Linked DNA regions of Macaca mulatta. The protein of the gene in region 2 interacts with the protein of the main gene of each other region in a biochemical or structural test. Links are inferred from orthologs where the notes say so. Each region holds a gene or a part of one and is shown on either strand. Other genes may lie near its edges.

Region 1 (4,285 bases), on a different chromosome or scaffold from region 2:
TGTGGAGCCGACCTGGCCAGGCAAGGCTGCTCTCTCCATCCCTGAGCCGCCTGCCACCTCCCGCTCCTGAAGATCTGCCTCTTGGGGCTCCCCTGACAGAGAAGACAGCTGAAGTCAAAGCCACATCCTCTTGCTGACCTTGGATGCAGGCTCTCCGGCCTCAGGGCCAGGGAGCCAGGCCCCACTGTGCAGGAACTCTGAGTCAGACGTGATATCTAGGGGGGCTGTCCACCCTGGCTGGGGCTGGAGGCAAGATGCCAGGCCCCCCAGGTTTTCTCAGGGCAGTTCTTGGTGTCTGCCTCTCAGATTTCAAGGACTAGAATTAAAACCTTTCCTGGGATTCTGGTGTGCCCCGTGTATGTGTGATTTACCTTGCAAGAGAATCAGGGCTTCTGTGGGGAGCACCTGAACCAGGCTGACTTCTGAGGTGCCTGCAGATTGCCACTCCTTGCACTGCCCAGCAGAGGCTGGAGCACTGTGCGTGGGGCCACACTGGGGAGGGGGAGGTGGGTGCTGGGCTGCCTGGCACTGGGCAGAGAACATATGGTGCCAGCGGAGTGCCTCGGGTGGGGAGGATGGGTGCGTGTGCTTGAAGCCTGGGTCATGTCTGCACCTGTCCCAGTTGCCTGGCAGATTGGCAAGGCAGGCTGGCAGAGCCTGCATGCGTAGGAGGCAGCCGGCAGCAGCACCATGTGCTAACGACCTCACAGCCAGACTCCCCCTGGTTAGTGCTGAGTGTCAGAACCACCCCCAGAACCTCAGTTAAGCAAATAGGTTGGTTTCCATGGAGACGTGGCATATTTTCTCCATGGCAACCTAAAATCCTAAAACCCATGTTCAGGAATGAGTCATCTATGGACAGTAGAGGGTGCTCTCCCACAAGGCTGACCTGAGGCCAGGGGCAGATGAGCAACTGACCACAGACCCAGAGGTGCCCCCAGAGTGTGGCTGGGGCCTGCGGGGACTGAGTCGGCCGTTTAACCACTTCCCGCCCACCTGTGCAATTTGAGGAGCTGGTGAGGCTGCAGGAGGCCCTGTGTGGAGGTGGCACCCCCCAGCTGGGGCCCTCAGAGCAGGGCTAGCACGGAGGGGATCCCTGACCCCCGAAGCAGGGTCCAGAACAGAGGAGGCAGGCACTGGCCAGGCGGGGTGGACACACAAGAGTTAACAGGCGGGTGTGACAGGCGGACCGCCCTCAGGAAGTGTTACTCACTGGGGATGTGCGTGCCTTGCCTTGGGGTTGGATTCTCTTCCTGAAGCCGAAGGAGCTCCCAGCCATGGAAAGCCCTGGAGAGTCAGGCACGGGCCCTCCGGGAGCCCCCAGCCCATCCAGCTTCACTCCTGGGCACCTGGAGACAGAAAAGTTAGTGAAGTTGGCAGGGCAGCCAGGTGGGGCAGGGAGGGGCTGCGAGAAGAGGGTCTATCTGGGGACGGAGAAGGTGGGAAACCTGGGAGCGGGGAAGAGGAGAGCAAGGGTCCCAGCCCCTGGCTCCCTGCTCAGATCTGGATGCCCGCCCTCAGGCCAGCCCAGGACCCACTGTATGACGTGCCCAATGCCAGCGGCGGGCAGGCAGGCGGGCCACAGCGGCCGGGACGCGTTGTGAGCCTGCGGGAGCGCCTGCTGCTCACCCGGCCTGTGTGGCTGCAGCTGCAAGCCAACGCAGCCGCGGCACTGCACGTGCTGAGGACCGAGCCCCCGGGGGTGAGTCTTGCCCCCAACCTCCAGGGACTGGCCAGCCAGGGGTGGGAGGGAGAAGGGTGGGATGCCAAGGTCCTGAGCTGCCTGAGCCCTATCCACTTGCAGACGTTCCTCGTGCGGAAATCTAACACCCGACAGTGCCAGGCCCTGTGCATGCGACTGCCCGAAGCCAGCGGCCCCTCCTTCGTCTCCAGCCACTACATCCTGGAGAGCCCTGGCGGTGAGGGGCTGGCCTGGCAGGAAGGGGCTGGAAGGAGGGAGGTTCCCTAGAGAAGCACCTCACTTCCCTCCTCTCTCAGGCGTCTCCTTGGAGGGCTCGGAGCTCATGTTCCCAGACCTAGTCCAGCTCATCTGTGCCTACTGCCACACCCGGTGAGTCTGCCTGCAGGGTGCCCTGTGTCCACGGGCCCTGCTCCTTGGGACAGCCCATCCTCCCCACCCCCTTCGGCCCTCACTCCCTTCTGCTCCCCTCTCTGGCCTCAGGGACATCCTTCTCCTCCCGCTGCAGCTCCCCAGAGCCATCCACCGTGCAGCCACCCACAAAGAGCTGGAGGCCATCTCCCATCTGGGCATTGGTAAGAGCTCCTTGCCACCCATTGCACAGATGAAAAAGCTGAGGCTGAGGGGAGGGGAAGGCTCGCAGCACACGGCCCGAAGCCCATGCCTTTCCTTGCTTGGGAAACTTCCCCTAACCAATCCTGGAGGCCCCAGTTGGTTTCTTGTTCCCTAGAGTTCTGGAGCTCCTCCCTCAACATCAAGGCTCAGCGGGGCCCGGCTGGAGGCCCAGTGTTGCCCCAGCTGAAGGCCCGGTCCCCTCAAGAGCTGGACCAGGGCACCGGAGCCGCCTTGTGCTTCTTCAACCCCCTGTTCCCGGGGGACCTGGGGCCCACCAAGCGGGAGAAATTCAAGAGAAGCTTCAAAGTGCGCGTGTCCACAGAGACTTCCAGCCCCCTGTCTCCACCTGCCGTGCCGCCTCCCCCCGTCCCTGTGTTGCCAGGGGCAGTCCCCAGCCAGACAGAGCGGCTGCCCCCTTGCCAGTTGCTGCGGAGGGAGAGTTCAGTGGGGTACCGCGTGCCAGCAGGCGGTGACCCTAGCCTTCCGCCTATGCCCTCCCTCCAGGAGGTGGACTGCGGCTCCCCCAGCAGCTCCGAGGAGGAGGGGGCGCCAGGGTCCCGGGGGAGCCCAGCGACCTCACCCCACCTGGGCCGCCGGCGGCCTCTGCTTCGGTCCATGAGTGCCGCCTTCTGCTCCCTACTGGCGCCGGAGCGGCAGGTGGGCCGGGCCGCGGCGGCACTGATGCAGGACCGACACACAGCCGCAGGCCAGCTGGTGCAGGACCTACTGACCCAGGTGCGGGCCGGGCCTGAGCCCCAGGAGCTGCAGGGCATCCGTCAGGCACTGAGCCGGGCCCGGGCCATGCTGAGCGTGGAGCTGGGCCCTGAGAAGCTGCTGCCGCCTAAAAGGCTGGGTGAGGCTCCGTCTCTCCATAGCTCCAGCACTGCCCCATCCGACCCTCTGCTCCCCTCCACAGCGCCAGCCTGTCTGATTCTGTTCTGCTGCTTTACAAACCCACCCTGTCTTACCACTGTTCGAGAGAGTTCCATCCTCTCTCTCCCCAAACTCTTCTGTCTCACCCAGGCTACCTCCTCCTGCTTTCCTTGCCTCTCCTCTCCGATTCTACCCCTGCTCCCTTCTCCCCTGGCCTCTGTCCCCCATCTCCCCAGTCTTCCCCTGACCCCTCCCTGCCCCTCCTCTGGCAGAACATGTCCTGGAGAAGTCATTGCATCGCTCTGTGCTCAAGCCTCTCCGGCCCATCCTGGCAGCCCGCGTGCGGCGCCGGCTTGCCGCAGACGGCTCCCTGGGCCGCCTAGCTGAGGGCCTCCGCCTGGCCCGGGCCCAGGGTCCCGGAGCTTTTGGGTCCCACCTGAGCCTGCCCTCCCCAGTAGAGATGGAGCAGGTGCGCCAGAAGTTGCTGCAGCTGCTCCGCACCTACTCACCCAGCGCCCAGGTGAAGCGGCTCCTGCAGGCCTGCAAGCTGCTCTACATGGCCCTGAGGACCCAGGAGGGTATGTCTCTGCCACCACCTCACCCTGCCCTGCCCCTCTGAGTTGGAGGTGGGACCCCCAGTGGCAGGTCCCCAGGACCCTGGAATGGCCCTGCGGGAGACAATGAGCCCACCCTCCCATCTTGCAGATTGCGAAACTGAGGCCCAGAGAGCAGTGCGTTGTCTCCGAAGCCCTGCCATGGTTGCTAGGCCATGGGGAGGGGTCACTGCCTAAAGCAAGGACTGCACCTGAAGCTTCTTCCTCTCACCATGTCCCCACAGGGGAGGACGCGGGTGCTGACGAGTTCCTGCCTCTGCTGAGCCTCGTCTTGGCCCACTGTGACCTTCCTGAGCTGCTGCTGGAGGCCGAGTACATGTCAGAGCTGCTGGAGCCCAGCCTGCTCACCGGAGAGGGTGAGGGACCCCCACCCACTTCCCTGCCTGGGTGGGCCCTGAATAAGCAGGGAAGGGGAGAAGGGATGGGTGCCCCACACCCAGCCTGAGCCGTGTTCTTCCACCCTGTGTCCCAGGTGGCTACTACC
Region 2 (4,292 bases):
TTAGTGCAAACGTCAACACAGCAAAAGAGACAAGATCTTGGTGCTCTATTAACATGAAAACAGTTTCAGCCTCTCAACCCCTGAAGGGATATCAGGGACACGTAGGGAACTACACTGCTTTCTATACCAGCTTCCCGGAATGAGATTACTGGGTCACTGGCACATACATTTCAAATTCTGATAAGTTCCGCCAAAGCTCTCCAAAAAGTCTGTACCAATTTTCACTATGTAAGGTGCATGATCATCACAAGTCAAAATGTAAATAATTCACTTTTTAAATCCTAAATTTGGGAGCCATCATAACACATGACCATATTGGCTTGCCTAAAAACAAAGCTAAAATAGAATTAATGTTTCAAGGCAAAGTAAAATCCAAGCACCCAGATTTATTTAGATGAAGTGAGTATTTTCTTGTAAGAAAGTAAAACTTCAACCGTCAAATGCAAGTTCATCCAACAGAAGCCTTTGTTGATTGCAGTCACCCAATGTTAAGAAGTATTTCTGAATGAATTTCAAACTATAAGCCACTGGCACACTTGATACGTTTGCTTATAGGATAGGTGGGCTCAATTGATTTTTTAATATAAAGGACACAATCTGAAAAATGGCAGGCTGCAACAGTACAAACAGTAACCCTAATTAATTGGTTATAGACATTAGTGTAAGCCGACCCTTAGCTTTAACTTCACACAGAATTACTGGACATGAACAACATAAAATGTGCTGTCAGCACTCAAATGCCAAATATGTTCATAAAAATGTCAAAGACAACTTTTATTGGCCCAAATGTCACTCTAAACAGGGAGAAGAGAGGATGAAAGCTTCATCAACGAGGAAGGGATTATTACTCCTATGGAAGGTAAGACAGAAGCTGTGTATCTAAAATTAATAAGGAATGCTGCCTCCCCACTTGATTTTTCCCACATGGCTCCAAAGTGAGTATTTTCAAGTCCCACTTATGATGGAAAAGGTCAAGGATATTAGCATCAACCAGTATCTATGATTCTTAACTTTACCAGAAAAACAAACCACTTTGAGAATATGATAAAAGCTCTCTGTAGACAAAGCAGTAAAGAATCCATGCATGTCAGAAGAGCCCTTGACTTCGGTGAGAGCAGAATCATAGAACCATGCATCCTAAGAAACAACTGAAGTCCAGCCCCTCAGGAAACTGAAGCCCTGGAACAGTAAAATGGCTTGTCCAAGGTCAACAGTGAATTCGCAGAGGAAGCAGGCAAGAAATAAGCAACTCAAATAGATTCTGAATAAAGCCGAACTCACGAAGTAACTTTTTCTTATACAAAGTAAGTTTCACCAGAAACTTGAGAGATAACTAAAGTAACAAATGTATTAAGTGGAATTGGAAGGAACTGTCGCAAGTACTATTATTCAAAGTTCCTTGAAGGCCTAAGATGAACGCATGAGGAAAATAATGAGCAGAAATTTTAAAAGCACTCACCATGTTCCACAAAAACATTGCAGTGTGGACCCCCATGCCTCGATGATTCCTTCTTCCCTGCTCCTTTGATAAAATGCAGGGCAGGCAAGCTTGGCCTTCTTTGGTCCCCAAGAACTTTTCCAGGCTGCTGCCCCATAAAGTAATAATGGGTACCCCTTTCCAGAAGAGGGTTCACGATCTTCCAGAACGGTCAGAGAGCGTAGAGGCAAATGGCATATACGCAGGATTTCACATTCGCTGCATCTCCACAAGTCAGCAATTGAAGTCAATCAGAGAAAGACCTCTTCCATAACAAAAGGAAGCACTTTTTTTAGGTTGACACTTGCAAGCAGGAGTTCCAATTATTTTCGCAGTTTATCAATTTTAAGTAATGTAATTGCAGTGTTACCCAAAAGTTTCTTGACTTTTTTTTTTTTTTAACGGGCTGAATAACAATTTCTTTTCAAAAAGAAAAACCTAAGCAGAAATATTCACAGGGGATGCTGAAAAGGGTCAATAATGCTAGTCATTTCAATTCCCACATATAAAGGAAACGCTGATCGTCTTTGGCTACTCCTCCAGAACTTTTCCTGTGGAAGTCACCAACCTCCTATCTTAGCTTCTTCATCTTCCAACAAATTTCCTGCCGAACTAGTGGCCGCTCTCGCTTCTCTGCTCTGCTCTCCGGAAAAGGACACGGGTCACCCAGATTTCAGCGAGTTTGCCCTCGACTCTGACGAAAAGGAATGCATTGCCAGCAACTTTTAAGTCCGCTTTTTAAAAGGCCTGTGGAACCAATCCAGACTTTTCCTTTGCATTAAAGTTTTTGGCTGACCTGAGACTAAGGGGGCCGTAGGTGACATTGGAAGAAGTCAGGGCATTAGAGGCTCGCGGGAGCCACCTTGGGGAAGGGGAGACCCCTTGACAGCAGGGAGGGATTTGAATGAGAGGCTCTGTGGCCAAAGTTGGGGCCGGGATCCGGAACAAGGGGCGGCTCGGGGCTGAGGGAGGCTGCCGGGGCGCGGCACGGGCGGCTTACTCCAGGGCGACGCTCTTCCACGCCTCGGAAAACGGGGTGTCCCAAGCTGAGGGTAACAGACCCCCAGTGTCCCAAAGCCGGGGTGGAGCTGTAAGGGACGAAGGACTCTCGCGGCCCAGACAGCGAAAGGCGGACGCCGTGTAGAGGAGGCCCGGCCGCCTCAGCTGCCCCAAGCCCGGGGGTCTCTGCCTGAGACACCCTCTCCCCCGGCCCCGGACGCTGACACCACCACCGCCCTCAGGCAATCACATCCCCAGAGCTCCGCCGAGGAACCCAGCCGCCCCCCGCCGGTAGGGGCCGTGGACAGCGGAAGGGCTCCTCAGTCGCAGCACCCGGGAACCGGCTCCGGCTCCAGCGCTGCTCAGGCACAGACACCGACCCCCGCGGCCGCCATGATGGATTACGAGCCGCTCCACAACGAGGCCAGGCCCCGCCTTCCGCCCCGCCCACGACGACGTCCGGAGCCCGCCTCAAGGGGACCCGGATGCCCTCAGGGCCGCTTTCCCGGGACACCGCCGCGCGTCCCGGCTCTGGTCCCACTGCCTGCGAAAGCCGGGCCCGGCACGACCTTTTAAATGTGGCTTCTTTGAGCGCAAGGTGAGTGATAAGGAAGCACCCGCCTCCTCTGTATTGTCATTGGCCTCCGAGAATCCGGGTCGGGCCTCTTTCCCCCGTCCCATTGGCCAATGGGGGCAGTAGGGCTGGATCTCCCAGCCAACCGTGTTCGGCGCAGTACGCGGTGCGTCCCGGGAGTTGTGGTCCCACGGCACCCGCGCGAGTCCTCCCGCACCGAGACTCCTGGCCCGGACCCCGACCGCTGGGCCTCGCCCCGCCCTCCTGGGACCTGGTGGACTCTCGCCGGCCGAGCGTCGGCTGGACCGCGTCTCCCCGGCGCGAGTAGTAAGACCGGGACAAAGCGAGGGAAAAACTGCGGATTGGATTTTCCTGGAACCGGAATCGGATGATTTCCTTCAGTCTCTAAGGGAGAAAATGTGGCTTGCTCCTAGAAGCCAAGGTTTTTGGTGCCTCTCAACCCCTTCACCCTCCAAAAAGCATAAATATTAGAACTAGCGGACGGGGCGCGGTGGCCCACGCCTGTAATCCCAGCACTTTGGGAGGTCGAGGCGAGCGGATCACCTGAGGTCGGGAGTTCGAGACCAGCCTGACCAACATGGAGAAACCCCTTCTCTACTGAAAATACAAAATGAGCCGGGCGTGGTGGTGCATGCCTGTAATACCAGCCTCAGGACGTTGAGGCAGGAGAATCGCTTGAACCCAGGAGGCAGAGGTTGCGGTGAGCTGAGATCACACCATTGCACTCTAGCCTGGGCAACAAGAGCAAAACTCCGTCTCAAAAAACAACAACAACAACAACAAAAAAAAACAACTAGCGAAGAAACATACAGAAATAGGGAAAACATCCGACATGTTGCTAACGAATTCAACTATTTATTTGGGCATTAGGAGGCTTACTCATTACAGAAAAGCCATTTGTTGGGTTTGCCAGGCGCTATCAGATGTTTGCCCTGGAACGAATCTTTAAGACTATAAACATTTCACAGGTGAACACGTATTCACATGAAAACATCCTCTATATTAGCTGAGAAAATGCCCAGATGGTTGGGTTTAGCAAGTCTACAGAACCAATGACCTAGATGTGCCAAACCCACACCTGATAGAATCCATGTTCTGCGACTAAAAAGCACCTTGGTTCCTATTGGCTCTCCATGTCTCCCCAGAGGGATGCATCTGACAGGAATCCCATTTCTTTCTTTTTTTTTTTTTTTTTTTTTTTTCAGATGGAGTTTTGCTCTT

What was found.
Region 1: of the proteins of ABL1 (region 2) and RIN1, one has a biochemical effect on the other in vitro, tested with the Homo sapiens proteins (2 studies listed by BioGRID and IntAct, with this or other methods). The link is inferred for Macaca mulatta from reciprocal best matches to the Homo sapiens genes ABL1 and RIN1.

Annotation. Positions count from the first base shown.
Region 1 is NC_133419.1:8,088,090-8,092,374, forward strand, and holds the start of RIN1 (ras and Rab interactor 1), read left to right. Parts: upstream 1-1,244; 5' UTR 1,245-1,277; coding exon 1,278-1,363; exon of another isoform or gene 1,364-1,389; intron 1,390-1,521; coding exon 1,522-1,702; intron 1,703-1,804; coding exon 1,805-1,919; intron 1,920-1,998; coding exon 1,999-2,071; intron 2,072-2,182; coding exon 2,183-2,274; intron 2,275-2,429; coding exon 2,430-3,167; intron 3,168-3,459; coding exon 3,460-3,765; intron 3,766-4,025; coding exon 4,026-4,157; intron 4,158-4,273; coding exon 4,274-4,285. UniProt on the Homo sapiens protein: Ras effector protein, which may serve as an inhibitory modulator of neuronal plasticity in aversive memory formation. Can affect Ras signaling at different levels. First, by competing with RAF1 protein for binding to activated Ras.
Region 2 is NC_133420.1:16,869,767-16,874,058, forward strand, and holds the start of ABL1 (tyrosine-protein kinase ABL1), read right to left. Parts: upstream 3,084-4,292; 5' UTR 2,302-3,083; coding exon of another isoform or gene 2,203-2,301; 5' UTR 1,596-2,202; coding exon 1,460-1,595; exon of another isoform or gene 1-1,459. Other genes in the region: uncharacterized protein LOC144335005, read right to left, coding at 2,203-2,301. UniProt on the Homo sapiens protein: Non-receptor tyrosine-protein kinase that plays a role in many key processes linked to cell growth and survival such as cytoskeleton remodeling in response to extracellular stimuli, cell motility and adhesion, receptor endocytosis, autophagy, DNA damage response and apoptosis.